Linked DNA regions of Drosophila melanogaster. The protein of the gene in region 1 interacts with the protein of each later gene in a biochemical or structural test. Each region holds a gene or a part of one and is shown in the gene's direction. Other genes may lie near its edges.

Region 1 (7,606 bases):
CGCATGAAACGCGCCAGCCTGCCACAAGAATCAAATGACACTCGGCCTGGTCCATTTCGGTCGCTCCACGGAGTTAAAAAAATTATCCATGCAGTGCAGTTTGTAGCTTACAGTTCGCAGTTTGCAGTATGATATGGTCAAAATACCCAGCAGTGTGTAGCCTTAATTGGCACCTCGACACTTGGCCAGGACCGAACCGAATCGAATCGCATCGAATGACTGCTGCTGTGTAGGTGCACTTGATGGCCGGCTGTGGTGTGAGATTTATGCATGTTCTCTTTGCGTATCCATTGCCCAACTGATGGTGGTGGAGCGGCACGACGGCTACTGGGCAGTTGGAAGCTTGGAAGTTGCAAGTTGGCACTTTGTTAGGCTGCGGCGCCGCTTTTTGATAAAGTATCCCAGCCAATGGTCACGCAATAAATTTTTGACATGACTTACGCACGTCCGAAATGGTCGATGGGGGGCAATTGATATGAGTGGTAGCCATTATGTAGATCTAAGTGATCGGAAACATTCAATAACACTTATACGACTTTTATGATAGCCAGCCAAAGGCCACACGGCGTATGCGCAATATTTTCATAGCAATTGATTTTTATCCTATTATTGTTGGTTATTTTAAAAGCGTGCAGTATATTTAAGATAAATACTACGTGCGTAAGTCTCCTCCCCTTCAATGTTGCACCTTTGAGCCCCAATTCTGTCCCAAAAATGTCAGCGATTAGCCGAGAATTTCAATTGACTGCACCCTCGCCACCAACATCCGTCGATTTCCATCTGCGTGATTGCTCTTGAAGAACCGCCCACCTTGAATTGGAAACACATTTCCACATATGCAAATCGCGAAAATCCAATCTGCAATAGCTTTATTCGCTGAAGCATTTAAAAATCGATTGATTGCTGTAAAGATCGTAATTACCCATTTAATTACTCTTGTTAATTAAACACACAATCGCATGAGGCGAGAGCAGCAAATATAATTGCCGTCCGTTCAGATTGGACGATAAAAGCCAGTGGTAATTGACATTTAAGGCAATTCATTAACGCAACTAACATATGGGAGTCAAAGAGCCAAAGTTAAAAACTAAATACCAACAGGTGGACTACTGCCCAAATACGAGAAGAAAAATGAAAAAACATCAGATACACGAATAACATGGCTAATCATGCACTAGATTTCGGGATATGTGTCTTTTTTTTCACAGGCCCGACTAAAAAATGCTGCCTCGGTTTTTTTTTCCCCCAATTTTTCACCGCGCATTTGCATACGAGTGGCCAAGTCGACGGCGCCACAATCTCCTCGGTTCCCAGCCACCAGCAAGTTCGAAGATTTCGGAGAGCCGAGTTGTTAGCGGCAATTATTGTAACCTGCAGACGGGCCGCATAAATCAGCTTAATTGCTATATTTAAATTCTAAATTTGGAGCTCTGGCCAAGTGCGCTGTCTAGTTGTGCAAGTGACACGGTCAGCGTCTATTTGGACCTGCAAATCTAATATATGCATGGCTATAGTTTTTGGGCAGCATTAACAATTTATGCAAATTAATGTGTGTGTGATGGTGGTCCCCTAAAAAGGCAAATTTATTAGAAGTATGCATATTTAAATTAAGATATGCCTGTTATGGGTGTTGTAATGAATGTTAAGTATTTTCACATGTCGATTTTTAATAACAAAGAACCTAATGAACTTATTACACATTTCAAGAAAGTTCTAACGGTTGGTTTTAAAATTCAAAATTCGATAGAAGTCGATATATTTTCAATGGTTTGTGTCCACGCTACGACCACAGTCAAATTGGAAATTGATGTCAAGTATTTGTGATTATTTTATGGTAATAATAAAGCGATTTAGGTAACAAACACATCTAATTAAATTCTATTCATTAAATATATTTTATCGTAGTTGTATTCTCATTAACTGTCAAATTGCGGAATACCCCAAACAGGATGTGGTATTTTCTAGTATGCGAGCAAAAATATACCGCATAGGTTTTCCACATTTCAGCTTTACAGTCACACTGCACCGCTCCGCCATTTTACGCTGACAATTTTTTCGCAAGATTGAAGAAACTAGTTCGTGCACGAGTAGAATGTAAATAGTTACAGAATTCACCCAACGGAAAACAACGCGCCAAAGCAATTAATCAATTAATTGTGCAGCGGGCGCGATTACCCGGCTAAATCGCGCAGCAGCACGCCGGTTTCTGCTCCGGCTTCCCCCTCCCCCGCAAAAAAAAAGAAACTGTACGAGGCGCGAGTGCAAGTGGGACAGAGACGGAAAGATTGGCGAGTGTCTTAGTGTGCGTGCGAAAATTGGGAAAAGCGGTGAAAAATCAGTAATTACGCCTAGGAATAGCAACTTTTCCGGCTCAACATGGCCGACGTGGTCTTGGATCTGTACGCGGAGGACCTCGACAAGGACTTTGCCGGGCAGGCTCAGGTAAGCCATGGGAAAAAGGCAGTCGCTCTGCAAGCCGCGTGTGTATGTATACAGTAGGGTGGATCGATGTCCGAAAGAATTGCGTTAGGGGGTAGAACGGCGTCTTGGGCGAACTCGACCACTTGGTACCTTGTAAAGTAGGGTTCTAGGAACTGAGTGCAGGGATATTATATTTATATAAAAATGAAACGTAATTTTTTTTAATTTCTTTAGCCATGGAAATGTAGAGAATTGTACGAATCCCAATAACTATACATTCTAAAAATTCTAAAGTAAAAATAGAGTAAAATCGAATTTGTAAAAAAAACAAGACTTGATCGTTTATTTTTAACGATTTTACGGGATTCCCACAACAGTTTGACCCACTTGTTAATTACTTTGCTTTATCCGCACAGGACGAATTTGGAGGCGATGGAGTAGACCTATACGATGACATAGGCGGTCCCACCGAATCGGCCGCCTCAGGTGGCGGGGGCGGTGGAACGCCCTCCGCAGATGGAGCCGCAGGGCCAGGCTCCGGGGAACCCGGCGAACGGAATTCCGGTGGTCCCAATGGGGTGTACCATCAGAGCAGTGGTAGCCTCACTCCGACCATGAATCGCCGCTACCAGCTTTATGTGGGCAATCTCACATGGTGGACCACTGACCAGGATATCGCCAATTCGCTGCGAGACATTGGCGTGAGTGATCTACAGGAAGTGAAGTTTTTTGAGAACAGGGCCAACGGTCAGTCGAAGGGCTTCAGTGTAATCTCCCTCGGCTCAGAATCTAGCCTGCGCGCCGTGCTCGACCAGCTGCCCAAGAAGGAGATGCACGGCCAAGCGCCGGTGGTCACGTATCCCAGCAAGCAGGCACTCACCCAATTCGAGAGTCTGCAAAAGACGCGTCCAGTGCCGCCGCCGCAGCAGAATGGACCGCCCAGGGGTCCGGCACCACCCAGTATGGGTGGCGGGCCAATGCCCACCGGACATCCAGGAGGACCGCAAGGAGGTGGACCACCGGGACATCCACCGCGCGGGATGAACTCCATCATGCAGCCGGGCCAGTACCGACCGCAGCACATGTCGCAGGTTCCCCAGGTGGGCGGACCCAACTCAGGACCTCCACGAATGCAGGTACACAACCACTGTTTTAGCCCCACATGGCCCCAAGAGGTCTCATCGTTTGTAGAAATATCGCTCGGTTCTAATTTGTTTTGTTTCTACATTCCTACATTATTTCCTATTTCCATCAAAATTGTTCTGAATGCAAAATTTGCTTACTTAGGTAAAATTAGAAACCCTAAATATACGACTTCATGTATAGTTTATAAACGAATATGTTCTACTTCAGTTGTTCGATATTCTTTTGTAAATTAAACGTAGAAACTTAGTTTTACAATTTAGAGAAAACAATAACGACTTTAGATGTGAGATATAAACAATCTGAAATATCCGATCTCTTGTTAGTATTTCATTTGATAATTTATAAACTAAACTAAAGCTGTCGTACAAATTAAGTTTCTAAGAATTTTTATTTATGTCTTTAAGTACTATTCTTATTCTTTACTTCTATTAATTCACAAGTAATTTCAGAGCAATTTTTTGTAGCACTCCTCGGCCTAAGGCAGTTTGTATTCTTTTTACTCCTTTTGTACTCTAGTCATAGACTTTCAACAAAAAAAAGCACATGTAATAAATTAAAATCAAGAGCAGTGCCTTCCTGGTTCCACTCAAATAATATATACTTTTGATTTAATTGCGTTAATGTATTTCCCCCCCTAGTATTTGTAATTGTGTATAATGGCCCGCTATTGTTATACAAAATGTTTATGTATTACGATTTATGTTCTATTCCATGTCTTTGACAACGCTTACGCACACTTCTACCCCACAACAACAACTACTACTTCAATATAAAACGTAATTCGTATTAATATAGCCGCCAATGCATCCGCAAGGCGGGCTCATGGGGAACCAACAGCCGCCACCCCGGTATCCGTCAGCGCAGGGCCAATGGCCAGGTCAGCGGCCAGGCGGGCCGCGACCAGGTCCACCGAACGGACCACCGCAGCGACCAATGGTAACAATCCCCAAAGCACTGAGTCCTCTTTGTATCTATGCCATAATATAATTCTAACGAAGCCAGAGAGAAGGCGAGATAAAGGAAGACTAACCCAACTTAAGTTAACCTTAGTTAACTTAGTCTTAAGCGATGTATTCAGAACATTTTCAGTAATTCCACAGATCAACCCATGCAACACAAACTCATACTATAGCTTAGAAACCGATTCGATCCGATCATTGGGAACAGTAAATAATCTTGTCTCTTCTGCCTTGCAGTTCCAAGGAGGCCCAATGGGCATGCCCGTCAGGGGTCCGGCAGGTCCCGACTGGCGTCGTCCACCCATGCACGGTGGTTTCCCGCCGCAAGGTCCGCCACGTGGCCTTCCCCCAGCACCAGGTCCGGGCGGACCACACGGCGCACCCGCACCCCACGTGAACCCAGCATTCTTTAACCAGCCTGGTGGTCCTGCCCAGCATCCGGGCATGGGTGGCCCGCCCCACGGAGCACCAGGTCCACAGCCAGGCATGAATATGCCACCGCAACAGGGCATGAACATGACGCCACAGCATGGACCGCCACCCCAGTTCGCCCAGCATGGACCACGTGGTCCGTGGCCGCCACCGCAGGGTAAGCCACCAGGTCCCTTCCCCGATCCGCAGCAGATGGGTCCGCAACTGACGGAGGTGGAGTTCGAGGAGGTGATGAGCAGAAATCGCACAGTCAGCAGTTCGGCGATCGCCAGGTGAGTGCAAAGGTTTTTAAAATGTTTTCTTTAACGAGGTCAAAACTTGTAGTTATTATTTAAAAACTAACCCATTCCTAAGTCGAATTCATAGAAAATTCCAATTATTGAAACTATGACTCAGATCCGGTCTAATTAATAAATTATCTAGATAATTAATTACTTTGTTGATCAAATATCAATTCCCTTTTTATGCTAATTTATTTTCAGAGCTGTTTCTGATGCAGCCGCTGGTGAATACTCGAGCGCCATCGAGACACTGGTCACAGCCATTTCACTGATCAAACAGTCCAAGGTAGCGCACGATGAGCGATGCAAAATTCTGATTAGCTCGCTGCAGGACACGTTGCATGGCATCGAGGCCAAGAGCTACAATAGGCGCGAAAGGTCGCGGTCGAGGGAGCGATCTCATCGCAGCCGACAGCGACGTGAGCGTTCCACGTCCAGGTACCGCGAGCGATCTCGGGAGCGGGAACGCGATCGGGATCGTGAGCGTGAACGGGATGGCGGGTAAGTTTTGGTTCTACCATGTGTAAGCCTCACACTTAATTCCGTATTCATTTTCTAGAAGCTACAGAGAGAGGTCTCGCAGTAGAGAACGTGAACGCCAGGCTCCAGATCACTACAGGGATGACAGGTAAAGACGTTCTACTTCTAAAAATTCGCTTCACTGTCTCATTTAAAAGTTGCTGATTAATTAATCATAGTGCTTCATTTAAATAGCATAGAACTCATAATTTATTCACTCGTAAACAGATTTTTTACTTTTGCTGTAAAAACAAGTGTAGATTTGTAAAGTCAGACGAAACTTTATTTTAAAATATTTGGAAAAATGTATAATTTATTAAAAGGTAGTATTTTTAAGGTATAGGCTTTTCAAATTTTTTATTTTCATTAAAAGCTTTCTGTAAAGATGTTAGCTTGAATTGTAACTGTTTAGGCTCATCAGAATATTTTTGCTCTTTTGTGCAACAATATACGGTGACAATTAAGCGAATTATTTTTAAGCTCGAAATGAAAACCTTGCGTTAATTTCAATCCCATAATCCGAAAACAGCCGATCGGTGCGTCCACGAAAGTCGCCGGAACCCGTAGTCGCCGAAGCAGCGGAGGCGCCATCATCGAAGCGCTACTACGAGGATCGGGAAAGGTACCGCTCCTCGGACCGTGAGCGACGCGACCGCGATCGAGACCGCGACCGCGAGCGGGAGCGTGATCGCGACAGGCGTGAGGAGCACCGTTCCCGGCATTGACTGCCGTAAGTGGAAGTTGGAACCATCGCCAGTGGACCCGTAATCAAGTGTAAAGATGCAACACAGATATACTAAACACACTCTATTAACAAACAATAAGCCGCAGCTTGGTGGGATGACAAGCTAGCCACAATTAACAGATTTTCGATTTGTATCTAACATTACCAATACGTAGGATATGAATATGGCAAACAGCATAGTTCTTCTAGACATACTATAATAAGCCGAAATGCTGACAAGATTTTACCAACGACGGACGGGGACTGCCTCTGGATCCATCCAACTTCACATCACAGAATCCTGGCAACATCAAGACCGGCAGACCGAAGTCAGCAGCAGTAGCAGGAGGATCGATGGAGAAGCCAAGGGGACAGTCAGCGTGGGACATTATAGACACTGATGCGCACTGGATCATCAAACAACAAACAACTAGCATTCCTGCACCGCCGTCTTCGCAGCAGAATTTCAATATTATTGTACTCTAAAATTTCGGTTTATTTAATAAAACATAAACGTATGAAAAAAAGAATTGTTCCAGAAAAAACCTTTACCAAAACTGTCTTGTATTGTGTGTCTTCTTGTACTCTTATTATATAAAAAAAAAAACATCTTATTAGTTAATGACTTTATAATTGTACAACAAAATTGTATGTAAAAATTACAAAATTATTGCACTTGTGCGTGCAATTAATATGGAAATTGTTATATTAACAAAATCATTTTGCCGACTGAGGCCGAAAATCGTTATCCCTAATGTATTTTCAAATATTTCGCGATCTTTTGTTGTAAACATTCTCCACGCATTTGTTTAATCTTGTTTTTATTTAACAATTAAACTTAAGTCGATCATAATTGTGTGCTTGAGACTGAGTGTGAGTGAATTTTTGTAGCATTCAAATGCCGACTGAATCCATCCGCATAAACGGATGGAGAAAACCATATGTTTGTATAGAATAAGTCGAGTGTGTGCTTTTAGCCCAAATACCATGATTTTTAGACTAAATTACTCTAAAAGAGAAACGTCCCAATCGCATTTATCGTAGTTAACTATACTAACGTTACAAGCTGATGTAGTTCCTAACATAGGTTCCAAGAAAAGAACAAAGTCATTCAGTTCCCCCCG
Region 2 (4,182 bases), 1.5 Mb from region 1:
GCAGTCGCAGTTCCAGCCCCTGCGCAGCCATCAACTGCAGCGCCACAACAACAATTTGAACAACAATAACTGCGGCAATGGATCCTCCTCCAGTCCATCATCGACCACATCAAGTGTGGTGGCCGCACCGCCCAGCACCACATCGTCATCGCAGCCAGCTCCACCGATTTATTAGCGTTCAAGGCTGTGCGTATTCGCTTTGCCGCGGGCCATTATCACGACCAGGTAAAGGAATACGCATCGATGTGGCAAACACAACCCCCTACCGCTCCTACGCAACCAGAGGATGCTGCTGTACAAAACGATTAATTGTGCTAATTTCTAGGCTCTTGTTTTTTTTTGTATCATTTTTACGAGTTTAACGTTGTAAAGGTCTAGACTAAGTTTTTTTAATTAACAGTTTTTATACACCAGATTTTTACGGTACCGCCTACACCAGCTACAACAACACGAGGAGAAAACAAGAGGAACGGAAACGAAATCTAAATATTTATAAGCCTATTTATTTTTTTGTATGTGCTAACATTATTTTTACACGAAAACAAAATACCCAATATGGAAAGAGCATTTCTATACTTGTGTGAGCGCAAAGAGGGCAGAGAACCACTGAAAACTGATAACTTTATAAGCCTAAACTACTAAAAACTCAGAAACTGCTAAGATTTTTTAAAGCCTAGCCTAAGTTAAGTATCGGCGGGATGATGAGTAGCGAAATGAAAATGAAAAGATGTAAATAGCAGATACACGAGTATATATATATCCCACAGTATGTATGTACATGTGTATGATTAACTTCATTATACCAGTTAATTTAGGCGTAGCAAAAATTTCTAAAAAATCAACTAAACTAGGCGTTTTGCCCAGAGGCGACACACGCGAAAAGCAAATAATTCTAACGCAATCTGAACGCGAGAAAAATACTGCGAAAAGCATGAAAAAAACATACATTTACATGTATATTTACTTTATATAACTGTCATACAGCTAATGTTAAACAACACACGATATGTATTCGGCAAATTCTAGAATACAAACAAAAAGCATTGTTAAGAACAAATTTACTTCCATTTTGCATATACAAACACATACGCACGCACACCTATATTTATTAAATGCATTTAATTTCATATTAAACTTAAAACGAAAAACAAGTTAATTGTTACACAAACACGATTTGGTTAGCTTCGACTTACTTCCACCGATTTGTTTCCAAAGCTCTTCCATATTAATTACACATGTAATTTACATCTAGAACTAGAATGTTAAATAATCTAATTTTTGCCATATTTAGTTCAGTGTTCATCAATCGCATTGAAAAGTGTCTTCCTTCGCCGCGTTCAATCATATTGCCTTTTGTTTATGCATTCCAATCCAATAATTTGTGCATTTCTTAATTCTAATATCTGCATAATGTACATAGAGATACGAAACGGAGAAAGAAACACGACGAGATGTTGCTATGAATTTAAATTGTTTGGAGTTTCCAACGTGGTTCATATACATATAATTTCACTTGCATTTTAAGGACACAATTATAGTTTACTTTTACCATGCCTAGCTGATAAGTTGTTGGTACAAAGAATCGAAAATAAAAACATAGATATTTTCCAAGGGAAAAATAAAGCGTATCGCCAATGGATAAATTTTGATTTCGTTTTCTTTTGAGTTTATTATTGATAGAGCTTTCATATTTTATTGTGATAGGATTATACAAGCACCTTGTCAAGTACTATTGGATTACCTATTTTTCTATATAACATCCAATATATATGTATTTGATTTGGTTCAGAATTCAAAAATATTTAGGGGGATTATATTTCTATTTTCTTTCTTTCTTTAGAAACAAGTTTTTTTTTTACGAGGTTGAATGAAATATACAGAAAGTTTTTCTGGCTTTGCTTGTTTGTGGATACAATAGAATTTTTTAAACAGTAAACAAAAAATTAAAAAAAACAAAATTATAAAAAAATGTTTTCTGTTTTAAAAGGCTAGCTATAAAAAAAGCTAGGTATGGCGAGCACTGTTCCCATTTTCCATCCCTGGTTAAGGCTGTGTTATCGTTATCGGGAGACAGCTGATTGGCGGCATCTTCATTTACAAACAATTGTGGAATTTGCAAACTTTTGTAAAAATGGACTACGATTTCAAGATGAAAACGCAGATAGAGCGTACGAAAGTGGAGGACCTATTCAACTACGAGGGCTGTAAGGTGGGACGCGGAACATACGGCCACGTCTACAAGGCGAAATGGAAGGAGACAAGGTGAACTGGTCATCGGGTGCTCTTCAAACAATATAAATAATTATAGTATTCATGTTCTTTAGCGATGGCAAAGAATATGCCTTGAAGCAGATCGACGGCACCGGATTGTCCATGTCCGCCTGCCGCGAGATCGCATTGCTGCGCGAACTGAAGCATCAGAACGTAATTACCCTCATCCGGGTGTTTCTGTCGCACAACGACCGCAAGGTGTTCCTGTTGATCGACTATGCGGAGCACGACCTGTGGCACATCATTAAGTTCCATCGGGCTGCTAAGGCCACCAAAAAGCAGGTTGTGGTTCCCCGCGGTATGGTTAAAAGTCTGCTATATCAGATTCTGGATGGGATTCACTATCTGCACAGTAATTGGGTGCTACATCGTGACCTGAAGCCGGCCAACATCCTGGTGATGGGCGATGGCAACGAGAGGGGCCGCGTAAAAATCGCCGACATGGGTTTCGCGCGGCTCTTCAATGCCCCATTGAAACCGCTGGCAGATCTGGATCCCGTGGTGGTTACCTTTTGGTATCGCGCTCCGGAACTGCTGCTTGGCGCTCGTCACTACACCAAGGCTATCGACATCTGGGCTATTGGCTGTATTTTCGCCGAACTACTCACTTCGGAGCCCATCTTCCATTGCCGCCAGGAGGACATAAAGACCAGTAATCCGTACCATCACGATCAGCTAGACCGCATCTTCAATGTGATGGGCTTTCCGCAGGACAAGGACTGGGAGGATATCAAGAAGATGCCGGAACATCATACGCTGACAAAGGACTTTAAACGCTCCACATACTCCACCTGCTCGCTGGCCAAATACATGGAAAGGCACAAAATAAAGCCAGACAGCAAGGCCTTTCACCTGCTGCAGAAGCTGCTGCTAATGGATCCCAACAAGCGCATCACCTCCGAACAGGCCATGCAGGATCAGTACTTCCAGGAGGAGCCGCAGCCCACGCAGGACGTGTTCGCCGGCTGCCCCATACCGTATCCCAAGCGTGAATTCCTCACCGACGACGACCAGGAAGATAAGTCGGATAATAAGCGACAGCAGCAACAGCAGCAGCAACAACAGCAGCAACAGCAGCAGCAACAGCAGCAGCAACAACAACAGCAGCAGCAGCAGCAGCAAATGAACGCTGAGCCGAATGCAAAGAGAGTTCGATTGTCCGGAGCTGGTAACCAGCAAGATTTTCACCACCAGCAGCAGCAGCAACAGCAGCAGCAGCAACAACAGCAGCAGCAGCAGCAACAGATGATGTTCAATCAGCAGCAGAACTTCCAGCGCTTCAACTGAGAGACTGATACATGCAGCATTTTTTCTACAACACCTACTAATTTCTAGCCTTCTAAGTATTTAATTTAATGACCTTGATAATAGCAAGTAAAGTGTACGATATAAAACGTTGATTTTTAATGGACAGGGTTTTCTTTATTTAATTTTGTGAACTCCAATTAACTCAAATTCGTTGAAATATCTTTCCGAAGGATATTCAAAAATAAATTTGAATGCATGTTCTTTCCTCTCAAAAATGAATTTCTCAAACGAAGTTTTGAAAACTATTTTTAAAATTGGTTCGAGTCTGAGCTATTTATTTAAAGCATGTTATGTTTTTGTGTCGGCTTGGGTCACGATACGCAAGTATCGATTAAATGTAATCGAAGGTGCCATCGCTGTGTTGCCAGCTCTAGTAGAATTTGTTAGAATATTTTACCGGATTTGCCATTTGCTTTGCAATACAAATTAGAAGAGAATATCCACACAGTGACCATTAAAGCGTAAAGAGCCAAATCTAACGTTTTCCAAATTAAGATCAAAACCGCCCGTCTGGCGACATCGATGAGATCGTGGCCCTCGCCCAAAACCCAGCTGGCTGCCAACTTGAAGATTGTGGCGTAAATTGCCCTCCGGAAACGCAGT
Region 3 (5,077 bases), on another chromosome or scaffold:
GGTCGTGGATCACTGTCGCGATCTGATCCTGTCCAGCTGTTCACTGCGTTTTATGCCGTACACGGATGATTGGATAGTCGTTGAGTACTTTGTCGATCACGACAGCGATTATCTAGTAAGCATGTATGTTGTGCTATCAATCGAACCCACCCACCTCCCCTTCCCCTTCTCCTCCTTTTGACTAACCTATCGTTCCTTACTTTTGTGTGCGTCTTGCAGTACACCCTATTCTCGAGTGGATCGGTGAAGTGATCAGCGCGCTATCATGATCGTTCGCCGCTGCACTCGATCCCTCTCTACTTTCTTATCTATGCGGCGTTGAGTTGAGCTAAATTTGTCATTAGATGTGTCACATTGCTCTGGTTCTTGGTCTTCTGGTACAGTGATTACATGGGAAAGTCACTGTAATCAGTGTAACTGAATATGGAAATAAATGCTTCAGGGCTTCAAGAGGCGGAGCACTTGAGTGAGCAGCATGAGTTGATAAGATAGTACTTGAAACAAAGTAACTTGGTTGGGCAAGGCCTTTAAACTGTGTCGAAATTCAGAAACTTAGATGTTACATAATTACAAATAACTATTGGTTTTGTTATTCAAGTGTAGGTTTGAAAAAAAACAGTAGCCACTTTAAATATAATCAAAATTTTAAGAGATAATCATTTTTTAAAAGCTTAGAGCGGAAACTCGGTTTGAGCTGTATTCATCAGTAATAAAATGGTACTTAAATAGAGCAGTTAAGCGAAACCTTGGCAATATTCATGTGCAAATTAAGCAATTTCTATGCGTTCTTCGTGGCATCTAGCTGTATGAAAAACAGCTCTCAATTAAACGAGAACTTTATAGTTCTCATTCACTGTTGGTGGTTCTTTATAGCTACCCCTGTGCCCAACACTCCCCGCTGTTCTAGTTATTTTCGTTCAATTGATCATTTGACATTAACTCGTTGACGGCGGCCAGAGTTTTCTTTGCTGCTCTGAGATGTGATGAGATATTGCTATTGCTGCTGCGGATGATGCGAACTGCTCCTCGCCAGCATTGCCAGTTGCCCATGTCGCCGCCAATTAAGTGGGCTGAGTAACTCGCATAGAATTCCCTCCGCGTCATCGTTTAGTCCCCAGGCCGCCAAGATTCAGTATTTTAAGCAGTTGGAGCAGCAGCTCATCATCCGGAATGGGGCGAATGGCTGTGGCCTGGAAACATATCTGGAGGAGGATGCTTCACCCGGTGACGGAGAGAGCGTGGCCATTACCCGCTGCCTGCTGCTAAAACGGCAACGTAATCACTTTGATCTTGTGGCCCTCAGCGATATGCCTGTGGACAAGTACGCCGGCGACAATTGGATCATCGAGGAGTACTTTGTGGACCACAATGACGACTATCTAGTGAGTCGTCCCCATTCCGAGTCACAGATTGTCGGCGAATATCTTTCGTTTTCTCGTGATGCATTGTCGGTCCTACAATTTTATAGGAACACAACCTTTTTTCAAAAATATTGTGGAAAAAAATATGTACAGTAGTAATTGTAATCCTAACAAATTCCCTTCGTTGTTTTAAACTAAAATTGTTAGTTATAATCTGTATATGTGATATATGTACACATGTCGATTCAAGTCAAATGGTCGTCCATATATTATTCGAATTTCTGCAAACACAAATGTTAAGTCTTCTGGAAATTTTGGCATGATTTATTGGCAATGCTACTGCTTTGACCGCCGCTATATACACCGATTTTACACGGTGCCCACTCACTCTCCCTGTCTATATCATGCCCCCAAATACACACATGTTTATGGGCTCCCGAGAGCGACGCCTTGGGGATTCCTCTCCGCACTGTGCGCATGTTCGTCTAAACTACCTATGGCCCATGGCGCACAGCTGATACTTCTTTCTCGGAGATGCGCGCGCAGCTTCATCCGGCGGAAAAGCATCTACTTGCCATTTGCTCCGTGGCCATTGGAAAATTATAAATACACGCGCCGCCGAAAGTCTGCGCTCTTCTCATCTGCGGCCAGTTTTCGGCTGAGAATTTTCAAATTCGAGGAAACCGAAACAGATTGAAATCTACGTTTGTTGGCTGTGTGTCGCCGCCACTGCTGCCATATAAACCATATAAACTACATATTGTCGTCGCTTCGTCTTCGTCGTGTAACGGTACGGGTACCACGGGGATCCCCCGCACACTCGCTGTCTCTCTCTATCCGGTCAGATCCCCCCGATCTCTATATTGATCGTCTCCTTTCGCGCAATTTGTTTATCGATGTGTGTGTGTGCGTGTGTGGTGTGTGTGCGTTTCTTGTGCTTTGAATATTCCTTTTCTTTTTGTATTTGGCTGAGAAACACCAAATAATCGAATAGAACAATAATTAGAGGTACATACGGAGCGTATGTGCAATATAGAAACGCATTTCGGAACGATAGGATAGGTAGAACAATTGCTGGGCACCGTGACATAATCAAGCGCAAGAACAAAAAACAACCCAAAACTTAGAACATTTAAGTGTTTTAAAAATAAAACAGTAGCAGTGCGGCAAGAACAAAATTGTCGAAAGCGAAAAAAACATCAAACAAAACACTGAGTGTTAAAAAAAAGTGCGCGATATTCATCGGACTGTATTTGTTTAAACAAAACGCGATGCAAGATACCATAGCCAAACTGTTTTATTGACCCCCCGCCAATGGTGGCGAGTGTATAATTCGGAATAATATCAAGTGGGATACCATCCAGCCTGATGAGCAGCTGTGAAACGTCCAAAACGCTGATAGTGAACTTTGCACTTCTCCACCAAGTTTGCAATTAGCGAGGCGAAAGATACTTTTAATAGAAATAGCGTATGGGGATGGAGGAGACTAGTGCAACATTCACTCAATCGAATACACAGATAGAAATGAAGATAGTTTAAAAACATTTTGGACTATGGAATGATATATATCTTCAAACCATATTTCTTTGTTAACTATGTTCCAAAAGTTTAAGGGTCAACAAGTAAAAACAGTTTAGTTACTATTGTGCTTAGATAATATGGTGAATATGTTTTCTGTGTACTCGGAGATGAAGGCGAAGAAGACAACGCAGCGGCCAAGCAAATCAAAACAAAAACTCAAAACTAACAAATGGAGCACACACGTGTGTGTCCGTTAGTGTGTGTGCCACATAGATACAAACTATCTATATGTGCGCTACAGATCGGCGGGATTATTCATCAGGCTGCCACATCATCATCATGTTGATCTCCGCCGCTCCGGCGTCTCCTTCCGCTGCCCTCCATCCTCCACTTTCCGCTTAGCTGGCGTTTTCTATAATTTTCGAAAGCTATTTTCGTAAGGCTTGCATTTATATTTAGTTGCCACAACAAACTTATAGCAAAAATCCAAGACACAAACTTGTACATGATTAAATTTTGGCCATATGATGATGCCAACCAAAATAAAAGTCAACTGGGGTGGAAAACTTTTCCCCTTCAGATTTTCCAACTCGAATGTGTGTGCTTTCGGTACAGTGAAAGCTAAGCCAGAGCTCAGCAAAGATCAGAAAATTAATGGAAACTCAAAGTGAATTAAAAAATCCAATCAGTCGAATGTGATTATCAGAGATCAGAGATGCATCTTCCAAATGAGAGCTGTCAGTTCAATTTGCATGGCTGATCGAGGTTTCACTGTACTGGCACTAGCGTCACACGTACTGTGTACTAGGTATAACGTCGTCCATTTGTTAAAAATAAAAACAGATTTCGAACCGAACACAGAATGGCAGGGAAAGATGCCCAATGAACCCCACCGAGATATCACACATAGGCTAAAACGATCTCTCCAGGGATATTCACACATATTCCACACATCGCAATAGATTTAGGGCAAGGTGCAGATCTTTTGGCTAGAATCGCAAAGGGGTAGGGGGTTTGCTTTTTGATGAGGCGGCGCCGCGATCAATGAGCTCATTGCTGTTTACGATTTGTAATTTGTATATGTCTCTGCTCTATATACCAAAACAAATTGGGGGTGCTATACATGCTTGTACCCATATATATGTCGGATGTATATGGGCGCCAAAAAGAAGCAGTCTTTGGTCGAACGGCGACCATTGATACAATTAGTAAGTCAAGTCGTCGGGCATTTGCCAAAATGCCAATGAGACATTGACATTGAGCGTGCGATCGATTGTTCCGATCCGATCTGATCCGAATAGAACCAATACGAAATAATCCGATGTTGCGCAGGTTTCCTTTGGGGCCAACATTGGCAGCCTCGCGAGTCTTGCCCAGCTAGTCGAACCCAACGCAATTCGAGGGAGCCGCCAGTGCAATATTAGATAATCGAGTAATTTTTCCCCTTGGGATCCAGAAAGAAAGCTGACAATCAACCGAAAAGTTCACCACACCCCTTGGAATGTCCAACGAACTTAGCGAACTGATCGCCCTTGGCTGTCCAGACCTCGCGGCGCAAAAGCCGCAGGGCGGTAGCACCCAGGTGGAGTTGATCCTCAATACTGAGCGCCGCCTGAGCATAAAGCAGATGACGGCCACGGATTTGGCCACACTTAGGGCAGCAGCAGCCGCAGAAGCGGAGGCCAGATCTCGAGCACAGGCGGAGGCGGAAGCTCTAGCAATTGCCCAGGAACAGTTTCGTCAGGCCCGCGAGGCCGAGTCCAAGGCCAGAGCACGTGCTGCCCTCGAGGTGCAGGCTCAGCTGCAGCGGGTGATGGAGAGCGAGAAACGCAGGCAACAGGAAGAGGAGGAACGGCGCATCAGGCAACAGGCAGAGGAGGAGCAGGAGGATGATGAAGACGACGACAACGATGAGGAAGAGGAACTAACCAAGGGTTCCCTTCCAACCAATTCAGGTCCAAGAGAACGCATTGCTTCGCTACCCTGCAACATAGATGATGCCATGGAGATGCACCTTCTTAACGTTTCGCAGCCGAAGGCCTCTTCCAAAGATGACTCACCGCCTAAGAAGAGTACCTCTCACATAGCTGACTCGATTGAGCTGCTGAGAATGCAGCGAGCTGCTCGGGATGCCCGTTCCCACAATCGTAGTCGAGAGCGTTCCATTTCGCCAGATCGTAATCGCGAAAGGAGCG

Evidence for each region.
Region 2: of the proteins of Cpsf6 (region 1) and Cdk8, one has a biochemical effect on the other in vitro, tested with the Drosophila melanogaster proteins (one study listed by BioGRID).
Region 3: of the proteins of Cpsf6 (region 1) and Doa, one has a biochemical effect on the other in vitro, tested with the Drosophila melanogaster proteins (one study listed by BioGRID).

What each region holds. Positions count from the first base shown.
Region 1 is NT_037436.4:8,309,908-8,317,513, reverse strand, and holds Cpsf6 (cleavage and polyadenylation specific factor 6), read left to right. Parts: upstream 1-2,011; 5' UTR 2,012-2,376; coding exon 2,377-2,442; intron 2,443-2,837; coding exon 2,838-3,557; intron 3,558-4,362; coding exon 4,363-4,503; intron 4,504-4,763; coding exon 4,764-5,230; intron 5,231-5,440; coding exon 5,441-5,740; intron 5,741-5,798; coding exon 5,799-5,867; intron 5,868-6,287; coding exon 6,288-6,483; 3' UTR 6,484-7,021; downstream 7,022-7,606. UniProt on the Drosophila melanogaster protein: May play a role in pre-mRNA 3'-processing.
Region 2 is NT_037436.4:9,836,555-9,840,736, reverse strand, and holds Cdk8 (Cyclin-dependent kinase 8), read left to right. Parts: upstream 1-2,066; 5' UTR 2,067-2,131; coding exon 2,132-2,262; intron 2,263-2,324; coding exon 2,325-3,558; 3' UTR 3,559-3,657; downstream 3,658-4,182. Other genes in the region: RasGAP1 (Ras GTPase activating protein 1), read left to right, coding at 1-175. UniProt on the Drosophila melanogaster protein: Component of the Mediator complex, a coactivator involved in regulated gene transcription of nearly all RNA polymerase II-dependent genes.
Region 3 is NT_033777.3:28,901,425-28,906,501, forward strand, and holds the start of Doa (darkener of apricot), read left to right. Parts: upstream 1-2,053; 5' UTR 2,054-2,151; intron 2,152-4,214; exon of another isoform or gene 4,215-4,338; 5' UTR 4,339-4,383; coding exon 4,384-5,077. UniProt on the Drosophila melanogaster protein: Dual specificity kinase involved in the negative regulation of microtubule-based transport through phsophorylation of the microtuble-binding protein eEF1gamma.